Linked DNA regions of Mus musculus. The protein of the gene in region 1 interacts with the protein of each later gene in a biochemical or structural test. Links are inferred from orthologs where the notes say so. Each region holds a gene or a part of one and is shown in the gene's direction. Other genes may lie near its edges.

Region 1 (4,219 bases):
TTACGGTCGGCATCATGGAATCATGGAGAGGTTGGCAGGATCAAGACAGCGCTAGTCAGCATGTGGGCTCTCACAGAAAATGGTCTCCCAGGATCAGGAAAGTATCCAGTTGGTACCCTTGCCTCCTGGGCACTCTGGTCCTTTTCTCCAGGAGATTGAATGGCGTGAGTTCTGAAAGTCCCCTGGGTACTTGTGAGGCCTGTTCTGGCAGCAAAGTAGGTCCACTTGGCTTCAGACACATTTTTGGCACAGACACATTTTTGGGTTGATTAGCACGAAAAGTGTGTGACATCCTGGCTGAGAGGCCTGTCACAGGCACAGTCATGGCACTGTTTTTTTTTTTTTTTTCTTTTGCTTTTCGAGACAGGGTTTCTCTGTATAGCCCTGGCTGTCCTGGAACTCACTCTGTAGACCAGGCTGGCCTCGAACTCAGAGATCCACCTGCCTCTGCCTTCTGAGTGCTGGGATTAAAGGCGTGGGCCACCACGCCCGGCAGGTGATAACTTTTGTCATGGATCTAGCTATCCGGTACAGTCTGCTTAGAAGCCAAGAGACCAAACTTTGGAACCAGGCAGACCCTGACTGAGTTGAGTCTTCTGGTTTCCACCATGTGACCTTCTGGAGTGTCTGTTCTCACATGAAGAATCTGGGTCATGATATAACTTTCCTCACAGGATTAGGTGCACGCACCCTCTGGGTACCAAGGCACATGGAGCACTTCTCAGAGAACCATCCTGGGACAGTCAGCTCTTCAAGTGCAAGGATGGGGACCAGACTTTTAGTTATGTGACATTATTTCATAAGTTTATTTTTCCCTTGTCATTGGAACTTGGGTGAGTTTTTATTAGATTTGTTGTAGTTGGGGTCCTTGTTTCCCACCAACTTAGTGCCAGTAGTCCACTGCTGTGACCATTGCTTAGTTAAAATCTTGTTGGTAACCTCGAGCTAGCGTTTAGGAAAACAAAAACTCACCGTGAAATGGATTCAAACATTACCTGTGGCACCAAAAACAGGGGAAATTCTTGTAAAAATGAGGTCAGGAAGGACCGCCATTCCAGCCCACAATGAACACGCACCATAGAGACATTTCCCTAAGCTTAAACTCACAACTCCAGGTCTAAATGGGTGGTTGGACCCGCGTCCGGTATTCGGTATTCCTGTGGGTTCCAGCCCTGACTGTTCACATTCCTCAGATACCCACTTTAGGTTTAATCACAGTCGCTCCCCGAGACCAGTCCTGGTAACTTGAGAGGAATTTGCATTTCCACCGACCTTCCCGGACACGCGGCAGGGGCAGGGGCTACGCCAGCGCAGCTACGCAGCTGGGGAGGGCGTGGAGCCTTCCCTTGGCCTGGAAGGGGTTAAGGGACGGCTGGGGCGGGGCGCTGGGCCCTTTGTTACCGGCCTAGGCGGGAGGCGGGAGGCGGGACGCGGGCCTGGGCGCGGGCCTGCTGGGAGCGCGGCCTGGCGGGGCTGGGGGCCCGGGGTGGTGGGGCCTTCGCCGTGGCCACGGGACCATGTTGGAGATCTGTTTGAAGTTGGTGGGCTGCAAATCCAAGAAGGGGCTCTCTTCGTCCTCCAGCTGCTACCTGGAAGGTAAATCCTGGCCTGGGCGCGGGGCCCACCAGGACTGTCCTGCCCGCCCGTGCCCTGTGTGTTCTAGGTCCCCAGTCTTCTCCCTCTGAGGCCTCTGCGGGTGCTGGTGGCTCATTCGGACTTCCAGAAAGAGAGAGAGAGCCGCGGCTTTGGCGCTGGCGGGGCCCAAGCGCATAGTGTGGCTCCTGCCCAGAAAGTTTGAAAAAGTCAGTGCCACAGGCCTTAAGGTCCTTGTGAGCCCACGTTGTGGTGTTTCCACTGCCAACTGGGAATTGTATGTCACAAAGGTGGACCTACACCAAGTGCCGCGTACAAAGGGATCCCGCTCTACCATTTATGGGTACAGAATTTCATGTGAACTTTCCACCCCCACCCCCACCTTTCTGCAGACCATGAAGAGGTCTTGGGGATTGTCTCTTTTTAGAAGAGAAAGAATGGTTTTGCTTGTATTTCCAGGAGTTTTGAGAGCTTCCAGTTTGATGCTTGGTGAGGGAGCCCCTCATGTTTTGTTCTTTGCATAAACTTAGAGCCAGGAGCCTGTTGCTTTTGCCTGCTTTACCCTGCTCCTCCAATTCCATGCCTCCTTCCTGTTGTCTTTAGTGTTTGGGTCTAAAAGGATGGCAAGGGAAAAGGGTGAGTGGTGAGTGCTGGGGACTCGGCTGTGGCCAGGCCTGTTAGAGTATAGCTGACCTTTGTGGGGACTGCTGCCTTCTTCAGAAGGGCAGAAGCACTCACAGATGTGTGGTGCCCTGGCTTTTCTGGCTGTTTCATGTAAGAGTTAAGATAGGAGTAAAAATGTAAAGTTTTCTTCAGAGCAATTTGGATTTCTACTGTTTTGAATTGTAAAGAATTGAAGGCTTTTCAATATCTAACCTGCTTCCCCGACCCCCCTTCCAAGTCTTTGACTCAAAGACCTACAGGGCCCCACATGACCCAGCTCAGACTTAGGTGCCCAGCTCGGGTAGAGGATGTTCTCCCTTTGCTAGAAGGGAGTATAAGGGACTTCGCTATAAGTCACAGTAAGATTTCAGCCCCTCCGGGGATTTCAGGGCCTGGATTCCTGAGAGGAGCTTGGTGTGGATGGCATGAGCTCAGGGCCTACCACTTAGAGGGAGGGAGATGGTTTATTTGTCCCCAGAGTTGGCATCTGAGCGGCCAGAATCATCCTCAGTTAATGCGTTGCTTATTTTTTCCAAGTTGCTCCACACTCTCCGCACATTTCTCCTCCCCATCTGTATCCAGTTAGTGAGAGGCACTATCTCCATTTTGAGCCGCTGGAGGCGGAGATGAATGGACTTTTGTAACTGCAGAGTTGGGGCATGTCACAGCTTTGCTAAGGTATCAGCTTGTTCCTGGGGTAATGTGGGATTTAGTGCAGAGCTGTTGGTTTAATTCTTGTTTTAGAAGGGGGAAAAAATCCATTCTTATTCCAGCATAATCCTTAAGGTGAATTCTAGCATTGCCAAGTTCCAAAGGAGTGCTGTCCTCACTTGGGTTTTGTAGGCCTTCTCCAGGAAGGTGTCTCTCTAGGAGCTCTTTCTGTTCACTGAGTTCAAAAAGGTAGACGGAATTCTTGTTGTGTAGCTGACGGAATCAAGCTAGCCTCGGTGTAATTATGTCTTGAAGACGGAAGTGCTGTCTGTCTCTGGGGAAGAGAGCTGTTGCCAGAATCTGGGGAAGTAATCTGGGCCTTCATTTCTTGCTTACATCCTAAATCAATCAATCAGTTCATGACACCCACCCAGAGGCCTGGGCCTCACAGGCCAGGAAGAGAATTGAGTATGGTGAATTTTCCATTATTACCAAATGCATGCTCCCTGCTGCTGTGCAGAGAAGGCCTGGTCAGCACAGACAGCAGCAGCAGTTAGATGGCCTTAGTGGGCCAAGCATTGTCTGCATTCCACATGCCCTCACTTTCTGACTTCTTATGGTGGCCCTGATTATCTCATCTTGTAGATAAGAAACTGAGGCACCAAAAAAGGTTAGGTGACATCTCTGAGATGACAGAATCAGCAGGTGGTAGTCCCAGGATTTGAACTTGTGCTATCTGGCTCCAGGGAATTGCACAGAGAGAGAGAAAGGGGGAGAGGGGGTGGAGAGAGAGAGAGAGAGGGAGGGAGGGAGAGAGAGAGAGAGAGAGAGAGAGAGAGAGAGAGAGAGAGAGAGAGAATGAATGTTGGGTATTGGAAGCCAGGGCCTTGAACTACACCCATAGGCCCTTGCCAACTTTTGAATTTTGAGACGGACTTGCCAAGTTGTCCAGTCAGGCTGTGAACTCAATAATCTGTAAACGTAAAGAGACAGGCTTTGCACTTGGCATTTTCTTGCCTCAGCCTGCTGAGCACCTAGGATTTCAGGCTTGCACCCCAGCACCTGGCCCAGAAAGCCCATTCTTAGCCTGTCTGTGCTAATAATGGATCATTGGTCTGCCGTGGCATTGTTCTCCCGTGGAAAACACTATGGATCATTCAATACTGTCTTTAGAAATGCCCAGCTAGGGCCTAAACTGTACCAGTCTTTTCCTTTCTGCATCAGGTAATAGTAATACACCTGCTTTCATAAAGCAACAGGACCAGGAACATTTTTTAAGCAAACATAAAAATACTTGTAAGAAAATTCTGAA
Region 2 (4,267 bases), on another chromosome or scaffold:
GTTCTTCCAAAGAACCAGGGTTAGACCCACATGGCAGCCCACAATAATTTGTAACTCCAGTTACGAGGAATTCAACGACTTCTTCTGGCCTCTACAGATACCTAAATGGGTTTGCAGAGAAAGCCTGTTGACTTGAGTTCCATCTCACAACCCCGGTAAAAGTGGAAAGCGATAATCGACTCCCCCAAAGTTGTCTTCCAGCTTCCATACGCATATCATAGCGCGAACGATCATACACACAGGAATGATAACAAATTTTTTTAAAAATTGTAGCAGGAGAGCCGGATATGGTGGCGCACATCTGTACTTGGGAGGTGGAAGCCAACAGTCTCAGCCATATAATATATTCGAGGCCAGCCTGAGCTATATGAACTATATGAGACCTTGTCTCAAAACCAAAAAATAAACAAAAGAGAAGAAAGGAGTGTAGCTGATAGCCTTAGCCTAGGGGGAGGGGACCATAAATTCTCAGGGCAAAATCTTGGAATGCCAATGTAAGGGATGCGAAATGTAAGGAGTTGGGCACCAGGGGGCGCCAGTCGGACCCGTCCGGGACGAAGCAACCCAGGGTCCCGGGGGTCATGTGCGGTGACTTCCCCGCGCCCCTCTTCGCTGTCGCCTCCGGGGTGAGCGTTGCTGTGCCCTTTGGGGTCCGCGGAGGAGAGGCGGGAACCGCGGCCGTCCGGACGGCGCGGTCGGTCCCTCAGAGACAGCTGTTCTCTCGGGAGGCCGTGGGGGGCAGCAGAGGGGACGGCGACAGGTGCGGGAGCCCCTCCCCGGGCAGAAGTGGGAAGGCGGACTCCGGGGTCTGTTCCCAGGCTGGAAACCGCCCCCGCCCCCCAGGCAAATCCCCCCGAGAGGCCGAGCCGGCGCCGGGTCTGCAGGAGGAAGCGGCCGGAGACAGTGCGATTTCACGCAGCCTCCGGGGCTCGGGTTCCCGAGCTGGGTACATGAGTTACGGGGCTTTGCGTCCCGGGGAAACTGAGGTGGCATGAACGCTAGGCTGAAAAACAACCTCCCACTCGAAAAAATAGAAATACTCACACTCCGAAAGAAAAAAAAAATCCCTCAAGTGATCCAACCGGCTAGGGGAGTTGAGTGATTTGGTTAATGGGCGAGGCCAGCTTTCTGGGGGCTGGGCTTCGGAGCGCTCTCCCTACGCGCATTCACTACCTTTCCCCCGCCTGGGGACGTTTGGAATCTTGATCTCCTCTTAACCATCTCCGGGGGAAATTGCTGGAGTGAGACCCCTCCTTGACCCTCTTGGCCAAGCTGTGGGCTGGCGGGGCACGCTTGGGCGGGTGTCTCGGGCTACAACCATCAGGACTCCAGCCTCGCACGGGAGGGGGCGCGGCCGTGACTCACCCCTTTCCCCCTTCACTCCCTCCCTCCCTCCCTTCCTCCCTCCCTCCCAGACAGACACCCTCCCCTGCCGTCCCGCTCCGGACTCCGACTACGGCTCCGGTTGCAGTTTGCAACCTCCGCTGCCGCCGCGGCCACCTAATCGCTGGCTGTTCAGGTGGCTGTCGCCTGGATGTCCTCCTAATCTTGGGGGCCCCGGGCCAGACTCGGCTGGGCTCCCTTCACCCTCCACTGTAATCATGAGTGCGATTGGGACTCTGCAGGTGCTGGGTTTCCTTCTCAGCCTGGCCCGGGGTTCCGAGATGGGCAACTCTCAGGCAGGTAAGCCGCGCGGGAGCCCCAGCAGGCTGGAAGCTGGGGGCGCAATCTGAGCGCTCGCAGACCCTGGGCAAGGAGTTTGGGTTCTGACGCTTTGAACTGGGGGGTGCGGTACAGGGTCTGCTCGGACCACCAAGGAGGGGACCGTGTGCCTCAGTTCTTGGAGTGGGCTGGTCAGGGACTGCATTCCTGTATGCCTACCCTTATTCCCAGGGCGTCGCCGACCCTCTAATTGGTTTTATTCTGATCTGGTTGGTGCCGAACAGTAGTTCACACTTGAGAGTCTTGGGAGGAGGGTGGGCAGGGACCCTTCTGTAAACGTAAGGAGCCTTGGCTTGAAAGGGTCTCCGTTTGCTCTCAGGTTCCCTGGCCCCCACCCCATTCCAGGTTTCAACAACCCCCAGTTTCGTTGTTTTGCCGACAGGGCGGGGCTATGCAAGGGTTTGAAGTTGTTGTTTTCTAATGTTGGAAAAACAAGAATGGCACCTCCTCTTCCGTGAGTGGGGCTGTCCTGAGAAGGCTGAGATTAACCTGAGGGCCAAGTCCAGGTGACATCAGTGAGAGGTCTCACAGAGGCTGACTGCCTGCTTTCCCATAAGATAAACCGGTCCCCAACTTAACCAACTTCTCTTTATCAAGACCCAGGTTAATTCAGTGAACATGTTGGGCATCTATTACATACTATACTATTTCCAGGTTATATACCCTAAGCTGGAGCTCTGGAAGAAAGGACAATCAGACCTCTTTCTCTCTCCAATCTAAGGCCACCTCTCCCACCTTCTGAACATTCTACTCTGTGAACTGGCTCCTAGACCCAACTTCTGCCCTTCCCCCATTCAATGCCATCTGAGCCTGTTCCGTGTCTCTGGGACTATGGACACTTGAAGAGCACTAGAATTGGTATCATTAGAGTCCTGTTGATCTTTCCCCTTTCCCAGATCCCCAGATCTCAGTTTGGGGTTGGCACATTCATTGCCCCTTCCCCAGAGTGGGAGTGGGAGAAACCACCTGTGCTTCCCCCACAGTTGCTGGGCCTAAATTTAGCCCCTGGGATCTTGAGATGTGAACACTCCCAGCTGGTGGAGGGGGTGGTCTGGAGACTGAAGTGGGAGGGGCCAGGGGAGTGACTGGATCACTGTCCCATCTGACTGTGCCCCCACCAACCAGGAACCCAAGAGTCCAAGATTCCCACCACCCTCCTCAAGAGGCAGGGAGCAGGCATGTTTAGTTCTCTATCCTTTATCTCCATCCTGAGCCTCTGGGCATCCGGCCCTGTCTCAAGCCTTGTATAGCCCCTTTGTCCCCTTGTGTGTGTGGCTGGGGCTTCTGAGGGCTGGAGGTTCTTGGTCTGCGCAGTCAATGCTCTCCACAGAGAAAGGTTCTGACTTTGAGCCTTTGCTCCTCTGTGAGTGTGGTCCACCCCACACCCACCCGCAGTTCTCGCTGCTTCCTGTGCGCCCCAAGTTGCCTGGTTCCTCCTGGGTAGTTGTTTATACTCCCGTCCTACCCAGGCCCTTTGCCCCTGTTTGTGAAATGTGGACTTTACCCTAAGGGTGGCAGGTAACCGAGACAGACCTGTAGGGCCTTGCAAAGCACAAGACACAAAGTGTGCAAGGCATTGTGGGCAGGTGGGATGGACTGGACACTTGTAAAACTTCCCAACTCGGGGCCCCAGGGGCAAACAATATATATTTCTGCACCAGAGTAACTGTGTACGTGTTTGTGTGCCAGCATGCACGCACAGGTACACATCATTTCCCTATGCAGATATCTTAGCTCCTCCCCTATCTGAGGAGAAGGGTTGGCACCTTAACTTGGAAGAGGGGTGTCCTGCCAGGAAGGGGACAGGGGTGGGGCACTTCCAGAAATGACTAACCTTCCCAGGCGTTTATTTCACCCCAAGGACCCTGGAGCTCCCAGATTTCTCTAGGAGAGTCTAGCTTGTTTATGCCTCCTTGCTGGAACTGGCCCACTCCTTCCATCATATGAAGAAAGGATAAGGAAGAGGATCTAGAAGAAGGGGTCAGACCAGACATAGATCTAACAGGAGAAGCTGAGGCCTCTGACTCGCTCTCTGCCTCCTGCCCCGCCTCAGGGAAGGGTGGTTAGAACAGGTGGTTGGTGGTGTACCCCTTACCCCCACCCTCCCCACGTGCTCTTACTGCGCCAGAGGAAAGATACTTAGAGCTCCAGGGAGGAAAGTGAAAGCCCAAGAACTGAAATGTACTGTACTGGCCTCTCTTTTGGGCTCTCTCCCCTGGAGTGTCTATTGGGGAGCACTGCCATGTTAGCAGTCTCTTTAAAGAATCCTTCTGGCAGTGAAATTGGGAAGAAGGCTTGGGAGTGGAGGCTCTGTTCTGCTTCTCTCCAGACCTCTCTGTTTGGTGAAAAGCACTTCGGGACTGCACAGGGATGCCTGCTGCCGGGGGAGCTGGAGCATGCTGGCTTAGGGGAAGGGAGTGAGAAGGGAAACCAGAGTTTAGGAGAGGGGAGGCCACCAGTTCCTTATCATCCAGCTTTAAAGACAAAGCTCCCATTGACCCCACCTCCCCACCCCACTACCAGGGTTTCTCCCTCCAGTGAGGTC
Region 3 (3,500 bases), on another chromosome or scaffold:
AGCTAGGTTTCTGGTCTATATATGACATACACATATAACAGCTTGGTCAACAAAAGAAAGGGGTGGGGATTAAATCTGGACTGAACCTCGGTATGGGATAACTTTTAAAATTTAGGGGATAGCAGATAGTCTACTGTTTTTGTTTTTGTTTTTTTGGTTTCAATATGTAGCAGGATAAAATTGGGTGGTAGCATTTAAAAGTTCCTCCTGGGCTGATCTCAGTTCAGTTCTGAGCATGGTGGCTCATAACCATCTGTATTGGGGTCTGATGCTCAGAGTACTCACATAAATGAAATACATAAATCCTCTGTTTGTTTTTTTGAGACAGGGTTTCTCTGTATAGCTCAGGCTGTCCTGGAACTCACTCTGTAGACTAGGCTGCCCTTGCACTCAGAAATCAGCCTGTCTCTGCCTCCCAAGTACTGGAATTAAAGGCGTGTGCCACCACTGCTAGGCACATAAATCTTTTTTAAAAAAAAGTTTTCCAGATGGGTTGTGATGTAAACACACACCCAGACCTTTGGTGAGTAGATTTGAGACAAGAGCATTTTCTTGCCAACCATAAACTGGCCTCAGACTTCAGCAGGCTTTCTGAGAGTAGGTGTTTCATGACAAGCATGGCTGTGTTTGCTGATTTGTGAATATTTCCAGAGCATGGTACTTAAATCTTTAAAATATAAATTCTAGCCTGGAGGTGGTGGATTTCTCTTGAGTTCTAAACCAGTTGGGTCTACAAAGCATAGTGACAGGACAGCCATGGCTATCCAGAGAAATCCTGCCTTTGAAAACCAATGATAACAAGAAATGATAACAAATCCTAAAATTTGGGCTTTCCTTTGGGGGAAACTTTGAAGGTAGATGCAAATAGAAACTTTTCCTCTTTTAAGGCATTGAAATGTTTCAGTGTTCTTTCTTATTTTAGGATTTTGAAGAGTATCCAGAACACAGAACAAACTTTTTCTTATTACTTCAAGCTGTCAATTCTCACTGTTTCCCAGCATTCCTAGCTATTCCACCTGCACAGTTCAAGCTGGTTTTGGATTCTATTATTTGGGCTTTTAAACATACTATGAGGAATGTTGCAGATACAGGTAAATACATTTAAGTTATTTGATAAAGCAGAAATAGACACTTAAGTCTCAGTAACTGTTTAATTTTGGGGGGGAGGAGGCATGAGCATCTAGTTTTCAGGGATTTCTAAAATACTGAGTCAATTCAGCAGTGAAAATTGATTACTTTTAAATGGAGCCATTCTAGCATCTGGTAGGGACATGTTTCATCATCCTTCATAGAGCTCATGAGTTTTGTATATGCTCTTTGTCCATTAGCTCTTAGTATCTATCTTAAAAACCAGTGTGGTGTTAGAACTTTTTTTTGTTGTTCTTTTGGTTGGTTGGTTGTTTTTGTTTGTTTGTTTGTTTTTTGTTTTTTTGATTTCCTGTATAGCCCGGGCTGTCCTAGAACTCAGATTTGCCTCCCAAATGGTGGAATTAAATGTGTGTGTCACTACACCCAGTGTTGATTTGGCGATTTGTTTTTCATCAATTCTCTAGCCCCTATCTCATCTCTGCCTGTGCGTGGAGGTGTGTGTCATGGCTTGCATGTGCAAGACTAAGTATGCTTGCTTGCTGCTGTTCCTGGGAACCTGGGTTTGATTTCTTACTGGTTCCAATGTGTCTGTTATACTCTTCTGACCTCCACAGGCACAATGTACACAGTATGTGTGTGTGTGTGTGTGTGTGTGTGTGTGTGTGTGTGTGTACACAGACAGAGTATAAGCATCCATACACATAAACTTGAGGGCAGGATTTACTCTTTACTGACCTATGCTCCACTGTAAGAGAGACAACTTTCTTTTCTGGGCATTTTGGCTTGCTTTCTCTGGGACCCTGTAGGAATTCCCATGTGTAGGAATCCTGCTGTCTGGATACCCATGGGTAATTGCATGGCTCGTAGGCTGCCCCTATGAAAGGGTTATTCAACACCTTTAGGATCAGGACTGAAAGGTTGAGAACCAGTGTTTATGATTGTTTAGCTTTTATGAATGTCTTTACTCCATATTCTTGCCTGGAGCCTGTGGAAGCCAGAAGTGGGTGGTGGATGCCATTGAACCAAGGTTGTGGATATAGTTGTGAGCCATGAAGTACATTGGTGCTAGGAATCAATTCTTTGCAGCAGCAAAAAGCATTGTAAGCTGCTGAGCCACCTCTCCAGCTCCAATTTATTTTTTGACACAGGGTCTCATGTATTCCAGGCTAGTCTTCCAACTTAATGATCATTCTGTCTCTACTTTCTAAATTCTGGACATGTTGGCTTTGTACAACTGAGTTATATCTTAGACCTTTGTTATTGTGTGTTTAAGTATTTTGCCTGCATATCTGTCAGTGCACCACTCATAGGCCTGGTGCCCACAGAAAATGTGTGTGAGCCACCTTCCCTTCAGAAGAACGGCAGTGCCCTTAACCACTGATACAACTCTAGTGATACTCTGGCTTCTTGTTGGGGCATACAATTCTCTCACCTGTACTGTTACGTTTATCTTTATTTCTAGGTAATAAATGGTTTAAAATGTTTGTTTAAAATAGCCAAAACAAACACCAGATTTGGTTATTTATGCTCTTAATCCTAGTCCTGGAGAAGTTCAAGTGAAATAATGTTTCCCACTTAAGGCTAACCTAATTTACAGGGCAACACTCTGTCTGAGTAAATAAAACACGCATGTCTTTGCTTAGTTCTCATATCTGACTATGTGTTATGATGCTTGTGGCATATTTTGGAGTCTGTGAGCTCCATTGTTAATTTAAAGTTAATACACAGATTCAAGAAAAATGGGAGTGGTGTGGCTCACTAGGCATGGTGGCCCATGCCTTTAGTATGAGCACTGCAGGGCAGAGTTTGAGATTGAGGCCATCCTGGTCTTACACACTCAGTTCAGACACACACACTCAAACAAAACAAACAACACACCCACTCAAAAAAGAGAGTATGAAGAGAAAAGAAAACAAGATTTTTTTTGTTGTTTGGTTTTTTGTTTGTGGTTTTTTGTTTGTTTGTTTGTTTGTTTTCGAGACAGGGTTTCTCTGTATAGCCCTGGCTGTCCTGGAACTCACTCTGTAGACCAGGCTGGCCTCGAACTCAGAAATCTGCCTGCCTCTGCCTCCCAAGTGTTAGATGTATATATGTTTTTATGTACACCAATAGTTTGTAATGAATTTTTATTGTTAACTTTAGGCTTACAGATACTTTTTACACTTTTACAAAATGTTGCACAAGAGGAAGCTGCCGCACAGAGTTTTTATCAAACTTATTTTTGTGATATTCTTCAGCATATTTTCTCTGTTGTAACAGACACTTCACATACTGCAGGTAAGAGCTGAAAATCACTAAATCACTTAAGTGTTCTGTTTGTTTCCTTTTTATTTTTTAATAAGTCTCCTCTGTTCAACAGGTCTAACAATGCATGCATCAATTCTTGCATATATGTTTAATTTGGTTGAAGA
Region 4 (3,025 bases), on another chromosome or scaffold:
CAACAACAGGATTATGTATTTTTTCAATCATCCAGGACTAATAGAGCATGAGTACCAGATGGTTGGCTGCCTTTCCAGAGTTAGCATGGACTTACAGAGACAGCGTGTCAGCCCGTCAGACTCGCTTGCCTCACGTCTCTTTTATTTTAGGAGTGGCTTTTGAACAGGGGAAGATCCTTCCCACTCCAGAAACAGTTCCTTTTAGACTCAGCAGAGATATTGTGGACGGGATGGGCATCACCGGTGTGGAAGGTGTCTTCAGAAGGTAAGGGAGGGAAAGCATGCAGTGTTTGCTATCAGAACTATTCAGCTAGTAGATTTAAAGAGATGATGCACAGAGACCCTTGGCACGGGCCACCTTGGTGTTAATTCAGCATGACATCGTGTGGTCATACCTGACCTCCTCTGGAAGAGGCCCACTTTTATGCTGTTACTCAGTCTTAGCTGACTCACTCTGGTCTTTTGCTGTCTTATTGATGCTCATGGTTGGGGGTATTAAAAAGGTGGTGGTTATTTTGTCTGAAAAAAAACATGTTTCTATATCATGTTTGGCTGGGTATAACTTCCAGTCCTTGTAGTTCCCCCAGTAAAGGTCCACAATCTCAGCTCGGCAAAGTAAATTAATACTCGCCTCAGTAATCAAGACAATGAGTATTTCATAGGAGTACTGTCTTCCTTGTAAGTGCTGAGCTTAGGAGACACACACACACACACACACACACACACACACACACACACACACGTGCATCTGTATATATTTATATCAATTTCTGGAGCATCTCTTAAATGTCTTAGCGGTCCTGCTCTTTGAAATACAATATGGGGAATTGCTAGCAAGAATCCTCTAAGTATGTATTCCTAAGTGCATATAGGCAAAGAAGGGCTGAAATACCAGCGTCTACAGAATCCATACCTGTAATGTTTCCCCTCGCAGGTGCTGTGAAAAAACGATGGAAGTTATGCGGAGTTCTCAGGAAACCCTGCTGACCATTGTAGAGGTAAAGCGTGCACAGGGCATCTGCATTCCTTTGCCATCGGCCTGCTCATAGAGAGTCACTCATCTGAAGAGCATTGCTGTATTTCATGTAGAGTGGGTCTCGGGCAGCAGCAGAAAGGGGAACAGTGAGCACCTTCATACATCAGAGTCTGGGGTTGGAAATGGCTCTAGTCCCCTCATGTTTCTTGGAAATATCATACATTGTTAAGTAATCTCCAATCTTTACGAAATTAATGAGCACTTTGGCATCTTAGACATCCCACGTGGGCCTGAAGATGACTCAGCTGGCAAAGTGCTTGCCCCACCAGCATGAGGACCTGAGTTTGGATCCCCAGAACCCATGTCAAAACCTGGCCTAGTGGTGCATGCTTATAGTCCCAGCACTGGGGACGCAGAGCTGGGGCAACCTCTGGGACTCTTGGCCAGCAAGGCTAGCCAAATCAGTGAGTTTCCATTCAATGATAGACACTGTCTCAAAAAATAAAGAAGAAAGGTGGTTGAAGAAAGCACCTGGCATTAACCTCTGGTTTACACACGCACGCACGTGTGCACGCGATTATGTGCGTACACATATAGATATGTCTGTATGCCTCTTGGATAGTTTGAGATTGGTTTCCGTGAAGAAAAATCAGTAATAAGTATCACTTTCCCTACAAATCTCAGAGCTAGTTTAGATAGAAATCAGAGTATCAGTCTTGTTAGTGGCAAGCGTAACTGAAGAGGGAGATTTGCTGCTGAGGCTCCTGCCGGGCCTAGTTGCTTTGGGACAACTCACCTGAATGGAGCTGTGGCTGTGTACAGGTTTAAATCCAGTTCGTCATTTCAGCTTGACCCAAGACAGAGAGGGAAGAAAGTCTGCAACGCTTGCAACATTAATTCTTCCCAAGAATTAATGAATTGTGTGGTGCTGGCAGTCATCTGCAACCTGGTAAGGGTGTGTGAAATAAGAGCTCAGCTGTTTCCTGCACAGGGAAATACATGCAGGAAGTAGAGTGCAGGCCTGACTGGCTGCGCACAGTGTCGTCTGCACTGTTTCTAAAGAGTAGGTGTTAACTGTGTTCAGACCAGATTCCTAGGGATGCAGCAGGACCCTGTGTTTTGTAGATGACTCTTCCTGTGCAGGCACGGTTAAGAGCCATTCATATCTCACTGGCACTATTAAGTCCGTGATAACAAGAGCCGAGCTGTGTCTTTTAGATGACTCAATAAACAGTCTGCCGCAGTGGTCTGAGTGAGGGGACTGCAACTGAGAAATTATTTCTGTCTCCACCTACGATGCCTGTATCACTTTAGAACCATCCCCACCCCCACCCCACCGACCAGCCACACACACACAGAATTCTGTATTGCCTTCGGTAAATCAGTCCAAATTTCTGACAGCCAGTTGTTTTTCCTTCAAACAGTTACCTGTTCACTGTTGGTTGTGACTAGTATTACTTCATGATGTGGTTACTATTGTTTTTAACTACATAATTAAAAGGCACGCTGTTTTGTTTTTTCTATTTAGGTTCTTTTGTACGATCCACTCTTTGATTGGACTATGAATCCTTTAAAAGCTCTGTATCTACAGCAGAGACCAGAAGATGAGTCCGACCTCCATTCCACCCCCAATGCAGATGATCAAGAATGCAAACAAAGTCTTAGGTGGGATATTTCAGGAAGGACCTGTTGTTACTTAGATTTTCTTGTTCCCAGGCCCTCCATGGTTGCACCTCATTGTAATCTTTGTGTTCTTTTATCATTAGTGATACTGACCAGAGTTTCAACAAAGTAGCTGAGCGTGTCTTGATGAGACTGCAAGAGAAACTGAAAGGCGTGGAGGAAGGCACTGTGCTCAGTGTGGGTGGACAGGTGAACTTGCTTATCCAGCAGGCCATGGATCCCAAAAATCTCAGCCGACTCTTCCCAGGATGGAAAGCTTGGGTGTGACCTTCACCCTTAAACTCGAACTTCAGAAATGACATCTCACCCACCATATTTGGACAGGAATTACTTAAGTGAATAACTGCTTTTGATCCAATTTTCTAC
Region 5 (3,500 bases), on another chromosome or scaffold:
ACAAGGCTTTACCATAACAACAGCCACCTGCAACCATCTGAACCGATCACCTCTGCCTTTGATGAAGACGTTTCCTACCAAGAGACTAATTTAAAAATTAATCCATGTCAGGCTTTTCCTGAAATTACATTTATTTGGCATTAAACACATGCATACAGTAAAGGCATGGTATTCTGGATTTTAGTGTATGTGAAACAATTTTCATCAGTAAACATTGGCATTGCCGTTAGGTACAAATGGGAGGACTTGCTTTAAATTCTGGCATCTATTATAAATCTTTCTTGCTATGCATTAAAATCACCAAGACAATGGTGAAAGAATTCTTACTGTGACTTGTCTCCGGAAGGTTTAGCATTGGAATCCTGGCAGTGAGTGAAAGACCAGAAAGGAGCTTCTTTAAGTTTCAACTGTTTGCTTTGTAAAAGTGCATCGTGATACGTGTTCATTCAAATTGTGACAGTAATTTGCTTATGTGAGAATTGTATTTCCAACTAGGCGTCACTATATGGGAACTGATGACCTTTGGAGGAAAGCCCTATGATGGAATTCCAACCCGAGAAATCCCCGATTTACTGGAGAAAGGAGAGCGTCTGCCTCAGCCTCCCATCTGCACTATTGATGTTTACATGGTCATGGTCAAATGTAAGGCTGCAAAATCACTCTTTCTGCCTGCATTATCATTCTTAATAAATAAAAGTTTAGATTGTTTTACCTGCAAAATGTTTCTCTGAATTGTTAAATAGAGTAGCAAGAATATTTACGAATGCAGAATATAAATACATGTTGTGGTAATTACTATTATGAGGTAATAGTATGCCACTAAGTTACAAAGTAAAAATTATGTCGTTCTTACTCTTACAATTTTTCAAATTTCCATACCCTTTGAAGTTTGTCATAAAGAGAGATAATTATTCATAAGAATGTTAGTAATAATATTAATGTTAATCTTTATGGGAAAATAGCTAAACATCATTGAGAGTCTGAAAATGAATTAAAGTAGATATGGGTTTAATTAAACATAAGTTAACAGAGCAGGTTGGGAGTCAAAAGAGACGAATCCACAACGAAGTAAAGATTAAGATGTTTACTCTTTTTAATTTGGTCATTTGCTTACATCAAATGTTCTTACTTTTCTTTCCACTTCTATACTCCAGGCACATATGTATTATAAATGTGTTTTGAAAGCCTAGACCCCTAATTTTAATAGAATTAAAAAAGTCTCTGGGGTTTCTGACTTAATTTAAGTGCGATTAACTGGCAGCCATCTCTCTTGTATAATCTGAGGTTTTCCAGTTTTGATTTACACAGGGTTAAAGGAAGCCACTAAGTGGTGAAGGTGAATAAGCATTTTATTAATAAGAGACTCTGAGACTCTGGGCCCAGGTCTTCTCATATTTATATTCATGACATGTGTGATCTATTCTGACAGGAAGAGAAGGAATAAAAAATGTTCCTTGCAGTGCAGGTCAGCATGCCCTTTTCTCTAAGCATAGTTCTATTTACTCAATATTTAGTTAGGGAGAAACAAATATCTCACGCTGAAGTTAACCTTTTTTGGCTCTAGTAGCTTTGTCATTAGCATCTTGGTATTAACAAGCATTTTTTTTTTTTTGGAAACGAATACCCATAAGGTGCAGAGTGCTTGAGCTTAAGAGAGGTGACACAAAGGATGCATAAGATGATACCCAAAGGATTTCCAAAACAAGAATTAAAAATTAACTCTCCAGGAATAGAAGAATTCTGTATTAGATCAGTCCTTGTTTACTCCATGACCTGGGAGAGAGCTTAAAAACATCCCTATGTTATATGATAATTTGATCCTATAACCAGCATCAGATGTTATCTGAATACCCCAATGTGATGACGGAAAGGCAGGCAAACATTTTGCCTTATTAGACAAAGCATATACAATGTTTCACCTTTGTTTTTCTCTCTTCCCCTGGAGAGTTTATGCTTTAGAAAAGGATCATTTGGCAAGGAAATCAAAGCAAGCTGGGCGCTGTTATTCTTGTCATCTCATCAGCTAAACAGAGCATAGGCAGTTAAGATCCATTTTCTCTGAACTCCCAGCTAAAGAAGACTACCTACCTTGAAAACTAGTATTTTTATTCTGGGAAAGCTAATTCTAAGATAAATGTAATGAGGATTGTTGAACACACATTATAAATCATGTTCCATTTTCCTTCCAAACAGGAACAAACCTGCCAAAAGGAGTTGCTATCAAATTCCCCATTTTCAATCTTTTGTACTACAGTGCTATGATGAGAAGCAAATATTTCCTACCATGTACTCTTGATCTGAAACTTCATTTTCTATCTCTGCAGCCATCAAAGAATGCTTTAAGGACATTATCTTAACACTCCAAAACAAGAACAACAAAATCTGAGGTTCTAAAATTTCCCATGGTTAGCTTAAAAGCTATTTTCCAAGCTAAAAAAAAATTGAGTTTGACTCAGAATGAAAATTGGGGATCATGTAAAGATGGGTCAGCAGTTAGGAGCTTTTGTTGCTCTTGCAGAAAACACAAATTTAGCTTTCAATGCCTACGTCAGGCGATTCACAATCACCTGCAACTCCAACTTCAGGGGATCCAATGCCCTTTTCTGGCTTCTGTGTACCTGCCCTCATATGCCCATACCCACACATAGAAACAATTAAAAATAATTGAATTTAAAAAATGTTATTTATAGTATATTGCATTTTGTGACAAATGTCAATTAATTGAGTTACAGCATAGTTCACTTCTTTCTCTAGTTTTGTTTTGCATATATATATATACATATATATATATCCCCATATTTCCCCAAACTTCAACTTTACTAATTATTACATACACTAATATTTTACTGTGTATTAATCTCCAGGTTGGATGATCGATGCTGACAGCAGACCTAAATTCAAAGAACTGGCTGCTGAGTTTTCAAGAATGGCTAGAGACCCTCAAAGATACCTAGTTATTCAGGTTAGTTATTTTGATGTTGCTTTTAAGAGTCTCTAATAACAAACTCTATTTAAACTTTGCAACTTTGAAAACATCCAGCAATAAAGTGACCATGTGAAAGAACTTGTGAAGTCATGAAACTGAATATGGTTCTATATATGTCTATGAGACAAAGCAGGCTCAGAAAAGCAAATGCTATATGTTCTCTCTCATATGCATAACCCACATGCATACATATACACATATACATGGTATAGGCCACAAAACTAGGAAGAGATGATTAGAAAGGAAAAAGGTTTCAAGGGAAAGGTAAACTACAAAAGAGGCTAATAGAATACATATGACAGAGAAATGGAAAGACTATTTCAGAAGGAAAGGGCTAAACAGCCAGAGGAGAGGAGTACCAGAAGATGATAAACCAAAATAATGTATGTATGTCCTTTCTATCATAACACTATAACAAAATCTGTACGTTCATATGTTAATTTAAAAAGTACATGTGGATTGTTTTATCAGGCGAGGTGCATAGTATCTAAGCAATAACTCAATTTAAACGAAT
Region 6 (4,212 bases), on another chromosome or scaffold:
GAGCAGCTGGTACCTCACGCAGGATTAACATTTCTCTGCAAAGGCAGGGGGTTGCCTAGTAGCTCTTCAGTGTTGCTGCTGGCCCCTGACCCTCTGCCACCACTGGCCTGGACTCCTCTGCTCTCCTTGGGATCTGCACAACTGTGGCCCTGAAGCCGACCTGGCCAAGCAAGACTGTGGTCTCCATCCCTGACCAGCCCACTCCCTCCCAAAGAATAACTTCTTCAGCGTCCCCCCACAGAGAGACCAGGCCTCATCCAGAGTCACAGCAGCAGTCCTCCTGACCTTGAACCCTGGCCCTCAGCCACTGAGCCAGGCCCAACTGTAGGAGGAACTCTCAAGCAGACATGTTGGGCCTTGTCCACCCTGACTGCCGCTGGAGAGGACGGCTTCCCAGGCTTTCTCAGGGCTATTCCTGGTGTCTGCCTCTCAGATTCCAAAGACTGGAATAAAATTTAACCTGGGACCTTGGTGTGGCTGATGTGTGGCTGCTGTATCTTAAAAGGGAATCAAGGCTTTGTGGGAGCACCTAAGACAGACTTTGCTGGGGTCCCTGTAGTTTGTGACTTAGAGAAAAGCCTGGGAGAGGAAGTTGGGACCAGAGCAGGAAGCGCCGCATGGCACAGGCAAGCCAGAGAAGCACATGGCCTTGTGTGGTGAAGGGACTTTTGGACATGCCTGGAGGCCAGGTCATGTCTGCACCTGCCCCAGACACTCGGCAGATTGGCAAGGCAGGCTAGCTAGCAGGGCCTGTGTGTGGGAGGCAGCTAGCAGCAGCACCAAGTGCTGTCGACCTCACAGCCACACTCCCCCTCTGGTTAACAGTGAGTGTCAGAACCACCCCCAGAACCTCAGTTAAGCAAAGAGCTTAGTTTCCATGGAGACACAGCATCCTTTCTCCATAGCAACCTGAAATCACAAAACCCAAGTTAGGTTCAGGAATGAGTCATCTGCAACCAGTAGGGGGTGCTCTCCCACAAGGCTGACCTTCCCCCCCCCCCGCCCCCCCTTTGCAAGGCTGGAGCCGATGAGCCAGTGACCACAGACTTCTTAAGGTGACCCAGGGGTGTGGCTTGGGTCTATGGGAACTTGGCTGATCCAGCCTAACCCCTCCCTCCCCCACTGCCTAGTGTGAGGAGGCTGCAGGAGGTGCTGTGTGGGGGTGGTCCTCCCTTAGCCGGGGCCTGATGATGACACTGGCATGGAGGGCTTCTCTGCCATTCAAGACTGTCTAAGAGTAGAAGAAGTGGACACTGGCTACATGGAGTGGACATACAAGAGTTAACTGGCGGGGTGTGACAGGGCGAACCGCCTTCAGGAAGTGTTACTCACCGCCAGGAATGTGCACGCCTGTGCCTTGGGGGTTGGATTGTCTTCCTGAGTCCCAGGAGAAGCCGAAGGAGCTCCCAGCCATGGAAGACCCTGGTGAGACCGGAGCACACCCTCTGGGAGCCACCAACCTGAACTTTGTACCTGGGCACCAACAGAAAGAAAAGTTAGTAAAGTTGGGGGGTCAGCCAGGTGCATCGGGTGAGGGCAGATCTAGGAGGAGCTGGCAAGGACAGGATAGATGGGAAGCCCAGAATGGGAAGACGTGTTCACCCCAGGTCTGGGTGTCTGCCCCCAGGCCATCTACAGACCCACTGTATGACACACCTGATACCAGAGGGGTACAGGCAGGCGGGTCCCAACAGCCAGCACGTACTGTGAGCCTTCGGGAGCGGCTGCTGATCACCCGGCCTGTGTGGTTACAGCTGCGGGCCAACGCTGCAGCCGCGCTGCACGTGCTGAGGACAGAGCCTCCGGGGGTGAGTCTCTCCCTTTCCTCAAGGCCTAGCCCGCCAAGGATGGGAGGGAACCAGCCTGGACATGGAGGACCAGAGCCTCCTAATCTCGTTCACTCACAGACCTTCCTGGTGCGGAAATCTAACACTCGCCAGTGCCAGGCTCTGTGTGTGCGGCTGCCAGAAGCTAGTGGCCCCTCTTTTGTCTCCAGCCACTATATCGAAGAGAGTACTGGCGGTGAGGAGGGTGGCCTGGAGGGCAGGGGCTGGAAGACAGGCAGGGGAGGGAGGTCCCCAGAGAACAGCCTCACTCCCAATGTCTCTCAGGTGTCTCTTTGGAGGGCTCAGAGCTCATGTTCCAGGACCTGGTGCAGCTCATCTGTGGATACTGCCGTACCAGGTGAGCCTGCCTGGGGGGCACCTGCTGAGCCCTGGGCCTGCTTCCCTGGACTGCCTGTCCTCTGCATCTGAACCCCGCTCACTCCTGACTGCTCCTTGCTCTGTCCTTAGGGACATTCTTCTCCTCCCTCTCCGACTCCCCAGAGCCATTCATCAGGCAGCCACCCACAAAGAGCTGGAGGCCATCTCCCATCTGGGCATGGGTAAGGGTACCCTGCAGCCTGTTACACAGATGGACACACAGAGGTCAAATGGGGGAAGGAAGAGCAATCAAGATTTTCCTTTGTGGGCACCCTGCAGAGCCAGCTCTGAGCACCCCCCCCCCCCATTGGTTTCTCATTGCTAGAGTTCTGGAGCTCCTCACTCAACACCAAGGACCAACAGAGGCCTTCGGAAGCCCCACCCATACCCCGGCTGAAGGCTCGCTCCCCTCAAGAGCTGGATCAGGGCACTGGTGCTGCCCTCTGCTTCTTCAACCCCCTCTTCCCCGGGGATCTGGGCCCCACCAAACGAGAGAAATTCAAGAGGAGTTTCAAAGTGCGAGTGTCCACCGAGACCTCCAGCCCTCTGTCTCCACCTGCTGTGCCGCCTCCCCCAGTCCCGGTGCTTCCAGGGACATCTTCCAGCCAAACGGAAAGACTGCCCCCTCGACAGCTGCTGCAGAGGGAGAGCTCAGTGGGATATCGTGTGCCAGGAAGTGCTGCCAGCCCTTGTCTTCCTCCCCTACCTTCCCTTCAGGAGGTGGACTGCTGCTCTCCCAGCAGCTCAGAGGAGGAGGGCTCTTCAGGAAGCCCTACAACCTCCCCACGCCTAAGCCGCCCAAGGCACCGGCGGCCTCTGCTTCGGTCCATGAGTTCTGCTTTCTGCTCTCTGCTGGCACCAGAGAGGCAGGTGGGCCGGGCAGCCACAATGCTAATGCAAAACCGATACACAGCCGTGGGTCAGCTAGTGCAGGACCTACTGACCCAGGTTCGGGCTGGTCCCGAGCCCCGGGAGTTGCAGGGCATCCGCCAGGCCCTAAGTCGGGCCCGGGCCATGCTGAGCGCAGAGCTGGGCCCTGAGAAGCTGCTACCACCAGAGCGGCTGGGTAAGGCCCGACCCCTGGCCTCCACAGGTTCATGTCCCTGGCTCTCCATCCTCCTTTGTCCTCCTCTCTCCTTGCCTTGGGTGCCTAGTGACTGCTGCGTTCCCTGTGCCCCACCCTCACTCCCTTTCTCACTTACTGTTGCACTGAATTCCCCGTCCCTATCCCCACCTTTCTCCCTACCTCCTGTCTTGGCCAGGGCCTCCTGCTCTTCCGGGCTTCTTTCCCCTGACTGCAACCACCTCTTCTCCGGCAGAATTGGTCCTGGAGAAGTCCCTGCATCGCTCTGTTCTCAAGCCTCTTCGACCCATTCTGGCTGCCCGCCTGCGGCGCCGGCTTTCCGCAGATGGTTCCCTCGGCCGCCTAGCTGAGGGCTTCCGCCTGGCCCGGACCCAGGGGCCTGGAGCCTTCGGGTCCCACCTGACTCTTTCTTCCCCAGTGGAGACAGAACAGGTGCGCCAGAAGCTGCTGCAGCTCCTTCGTGCCTACTCACCTAGTGCCCAGGTCAAGTGGCTCCTGCAGGCCTGCAAGCTGCTATACACAGCCCTGAAGAGCCAGGCAGGTAGGACCCCCACCACCTTCCCCTGTGCCACTCTTTCTGAGTAGAAACCACGCATCACCTCCCTCCACAGGGAGCCTGTCCCAGAACCCCAGAACTGCAAACAAGATAGAAGGAGCCCACTCTCCACCCCAGGAACTCTAGAGAATAGTGCCTTTCTGCCCTGTAACCTTCCCTGAGGTTGCTATGATGCTCCTGGTCTGTCGCCTAGTCACTTAGGGCTTTAGCAGGTGTAGGGGAGGGGCCACACTGTCTAGCATGGAGATTGGACCCTAGCCTTTGGACCTCTGAGGAGGCTGGAATCTCCTTCTTCCATGTCTCCACAGGAGAGAATGCAGGTGCTGATGAGTTCCTGCCTCTGCTGAGCCTTGTTTTGGCCCAGTGCG
Region 7 (2,478 bases), on another chromosome or scaffold:
GCAAGCACTTCAACGCCTTCTCCCACGGAACTTCTCACCAGCTCTAGATTGTTTTTGTTTGCTGTAGTGGTCTTTTAGTATGAAATGCTTTAACACATTTGTGCAGGGGTCATGCTAATTATCTCTGTATCATTTCAGTTTTACATAAATATACTGTCAGAGCAAGATGGTTTTATTAAGTCCGTGCTGGTCTCAAACTGAAGGTCCTCTTAGCCTCCTGTGTGTTGTCTGTGGGGATTATAAGCACCACACCTGGCTACTTCCCACTTTCCTCCCAAGACAGGGTTGCTCTGTGTAAGCCATTGGCTGTCCTGGAACTCGCTCTGTCCATGAGGCTGACTCAGAGATCTGCCTGCCTCTGCCTCCCAAAGACTGGGATTGAAGGTATGTGCCACCAGTCCGCACTTCTTACCCTTTTATTCAGCTTAACATGCACGTTCTTAGAGTTGGATGCTCATACATGTCCATTTATTAGTAACGCTGGAGGGAGTGGCTGCTCTGTGTTCAGAGGCTGCTTCCTGAGTTTTTGCCAGCGACAGGTATCCTGGGTGGTTGGTGGCATCTCGTGTCTTTGTACTACTTGATTTTTGTATAGACAGTGTTTGTGATTTAATGTAAACTGTCTTCCTTGTTTGTAGTGATGCTAATTTTGTTTTCTTTCCCTCTTCCCTTACAGGTTGGTGACATTGTGAAAGTCACAAGGATGAATATCAATGGCCAATGGGAAGGCGAGGTGAATGGGCGCAAGGGGCTTTTCCCCTTCACACATGTTAAAATCTTTGACCCTCAGAACCCCGATGACAACGAGTGATTGCTGTGCTGTCCCTGCTGCTGCCTCCTTCTGCCTGTCAGTCTCCTTTGAAGTGGGAAGCACTCTGTCACATGCAAGTTACACCGAGCTGCTGGCGGTCAGCTTTCCATACATTGGCAGTCCCTGCACATACGGAATGCCTCAGCAGCTGCCTTGCTCGCTGGCTCGGCATTTGTATCATAGTCATGCTGTCAAAGAGTAGCTGATTTAGAGTTCTTGTGGATTGTGAACTGGAAACACTGGTGGAAGCACACAGTAGAGACTGGAACCCAGAGCAGCTCTTCCTTCCCATCCATCACTGCCTTGTTTGTACTGGAGGCTGACAGAGAGAGCAAGCAAGCCTGCTGATGGTCTGCATGGAGACGGTGAGGCTTGGCAAGGTCTCGCTTTGCTGGTCCACAGAACAGTGGTTTTGCCACCAACTCAGTTTTCTTTGGACGACAGAGGAAGTAAAACTCCAGACAATTCTGTCCCGAACTCCTCAAGTCTGGCTGGTTTTCATTTTCTTTTGTTTAGTTTTGTTTTTTGGAAGACTAATTAATTATAGTTGTGTGTTCTGAACAGATTTTTAAATAGTAGGTTGGTCTATGATGGTCTAAGGAACAATCCATGTCTCTGAGCTTCCAAACTGAAGCCACTGTACGTAACTAAAATAGGAAAAGACCCCCTCCAGGGGCCTTTATCTTTTGGTTGCCACAGTACCTTGTTTACCATGTGGCAAACAGTGCACAGCAGCAGTCATGGTGTACCTTGCTGTGAAGCACCAAGGTGGGGGTGGGCCTGCTGTCATCGCTGCCTCTGACAGGAGCAGACAGGGTGGGCCTCTTCAGTGAAAACGTTTGAAGTCTGTGGGCTTACTAGATCCGTGAGTTAAATTGCATTGCTGTGTTCCACCACAGAGGCCACCCAGCCCTTCCTGTACTGACCTAGCTTGTCCAGGCAGCTTGAGAGTGGTGTCTGTTCTGGTTCCACAGCCTGAGTAGAACCAGAATACAGTGCTTCTGAGCAAAAGAAGACGCCCCTCGATCATGAGCCATTTTTCCTTGCATGTCAGCTACTACAGATATGTGTCTGATCCCTCATCCACACATGGCAAACCAGAGCTCTAGAACCTTTCTAGAGTGCACTCTTTTCAGTTGGACCCTGATGAGGATACACCTCCACACAGAACGAACGTAGCAGACCTAGAGATGGAGTAGTGGCTAGTGAGCAGCTCTAGCATTTACAGAATATCTTCTGTAACCATGGCCCTGGTTCTGCAGGCCTGAGGCTTTGAGAACTAATGGAACATATTCAGGTGACAAAACCAACAAAACCCTTTGTCCACTATATTTATTTCTCTTAAAGACTTTAAATTTTTGTTTATGTTGGGCATGGTGGACACACCTTTAATCCCAGTACTCAGAAAGGCAAAGGCAAGTGGATCTCTGAGAGTTCAAGGCTATCCTGATCTATGTAGTGTGTCACAGGACAGGCAGGCCTACATACATACCTTGTATCAGAAGATGGCCCAATCCCCCCCTCAGACCTCCCCCCAAAAAAAACTGTATATGGGTGTTTCCACTACATGTATGTATGTGTATCACATGGGTAGTTTGTTAGGAGGCCAGAAAAGGGTGTTGGTTGGATCCTCTGGAACTGTGGAGTTACTCTGTGGGTTCTAGGAA

What was found.
Region 2: the proteins of Abl1 (region 1) and Erbb3 form a complex in vitro, tested with the Homo sapiens proteins (2 studies listed by BioGRID and IntAct, with this or other methods). The link is inferred for Mus musculus from reciprocal best matches to the Homo sapiens genes ABL1 and ERBB3.
Region 3: the proteins of Abl1 (region 1) and Xpo1 interact in a test that uses a peptide from one of them, tested with the Homo sapiens proteins (2 studies listed by BioGRID). The link is inferred for Mus musculus from reciprocal best matches to the Homo sapiens genes ABL1 and XPO1.
Region 4: of the proteins of Abl1 (region 1) and Atm, one has a biochemical effect on the other in vitro, tested with the Homo sapiens proteins (3 studies listed by BioGRID and IntAct, with this or other methods). The link is inferred for Mus musculus from reciprocal best matches to the Homo sapiens genes ABL1 and ATM.
Region 5: the proteins of Abl1 (region 1) and Erbb4 form a complex in vitro, tested with the Homo sapiens proteins (2 studies listed by BioGRID and IntAct, with this or other methods). The link is inferred for Mus musculus from reciprocal best matches to the Homo sapiens genes ABL1 and ERBB4.
Region 6: of the proteins of Abl1 (region 1) and Rin1, one has a biochemical effect on the other in vitro, tested with the Homo sapiens proteins (2 studies listed by BioGRID and IntAct, with this or other methods). The link is inferred for Mus musculus from reciprocal best matches to the Homo sapiens genes ABL1 and RIN1.
Region 7: the proteins of Abl1 (region 1) and Crkl form a complex in vitro, tested with the Homo sapiens proteins (4 studies listed by BioGRID and IntAct, with this or other methods). The link is inferred for Mus musculus from reciprocal best matches to the Homo sapiens genes ABL1 and CRKL.

Annotation. Positions count from the first base shown.
Region 1 is NC_000068.7:31,758,520-31,762,738, forward strand, and holds the start of Abl1 (tyrosine-protein kinase ABL1), read left to right. Parts: upstream 1-1,419; 5' UTR 1,420-1,517; coding exon 1,518-1,596; intron 1,597-1,653; exon of another isoform or gene 1,654-1,872; coding exon of another isoform or gene 1,873-1,936; intron 1,937-4,219. UniProt on the Homo sapiens protein: Non-receptor tyrosine-protein kinase that plays a role in many key processes linked to cell growth and survival such as cytoskeleton remodeling in response to extracellular stimuli, cell motility and adhesion, receptor endocytosis, autophagy, DNA damage response and apoptosis.
Region 2 is NC_000076.6:128,586,836-128,591,102, reverse strand, and holds the start of Erbb3 (receptor tyrosine-protein kinase erbB-3 precursor), read left to right. Parts: upstream 1-1,467; 5' UTR 1,468-1,601; coding exon 1,602-1,683; intron 1,684-4,267. UniProt on the Homo sapiens protein: Tyrosine-protein kinase that plays an essential role as cell surface receptor for neuregulins.
Region 3 is NC_000077.6:23,290,541-23,294,040, forward strand, and holds part of Xpo1 (exportin-1), read left to right. Parts: intron 1-922; coding exon 923-1,091; intron 1,092-3,231; coding exon 3,232-3,366; intron 3,367-3,448; coding exon 3,449-3,500. UniProt on the Homo sapiens protein: Mediates the nuclear export of cellular proteins (cargos) bearing a leucine-rich nuclear export signal (NES) and of RNAs.
Region 4 is NC_000075.6:53,439,647-53,442,671, reverse strand, and holds part of Atm (serine-protein kinase ATM), read left to right. Parts: intron 1-150; coding exon 151-265; intron 266-934; coding exon 935-998; intron 999-2,504; coding exon 2,505-2,641; intron 2,642-2,742; coding exon 2,743-2,926; 3' UTR 2,927-3,025.
Region 5 is NC_000067.6:68,072,560-68,076,059, reverse strand, and holds part of Erbb4 (receptor tyrosine-protein kinase erbB-4 precursor), read left to right. Parts: intron 1-495; coding exon 496-642; intron 643-2,864; coding exon 2,865-2,962; intron 2,963-3,500. UniProt on the Homo sapiens protein: Tyrosine-protein kinase that plays an essential role as cell surface receptor for neuregulins and EGF family members and regulates development of the heart, the central nervous system and the mammary gland, gene transcription, cell proliferation, differentiation, migration and apoptosis.
Region 6 is NC_000085.6:5,049,447-5,053,658, forward strand, and holds the start of Rin1 (ras and Rab interactor 1), read left to right. Parts: upstream 1-1,412; coding exon 1,413-1,495; intron 1,496-1,627; coding exon 1,628-1,808; intron 1,809-1,907; coding exon 1,908-2,022; intron 2,023-2,111; coding exon 2,112-2,184; intron 2,185-2,294; coding exon 2,295-2,386; intron 2,387-2,529; coding exon 2,530-3,270; intron 3,271-3,523; coding exon 3,524-3,829; intron 3,830-4,152; coding exon 4,153-4,212. UniProt on the Homo sapiens protein: Ras effector protein, which may serve as an inhibitory modulator of neuronal plasticity in aversive memory formation. Can affect Ras signaling at different levels. First, by competing with RAF1 protein for binding to activated Ras.
Region 7 is NC_000082.6:17,482,985-17,485,462, forward strand, and holds part of Crkl (crk-like protein), read left to right. Parts: intron 1-676; coding exon 677-811; 3' UTR 812-2,478. UniProt on the Homo sapiens protein: May mediate the transduction of intracellular signals.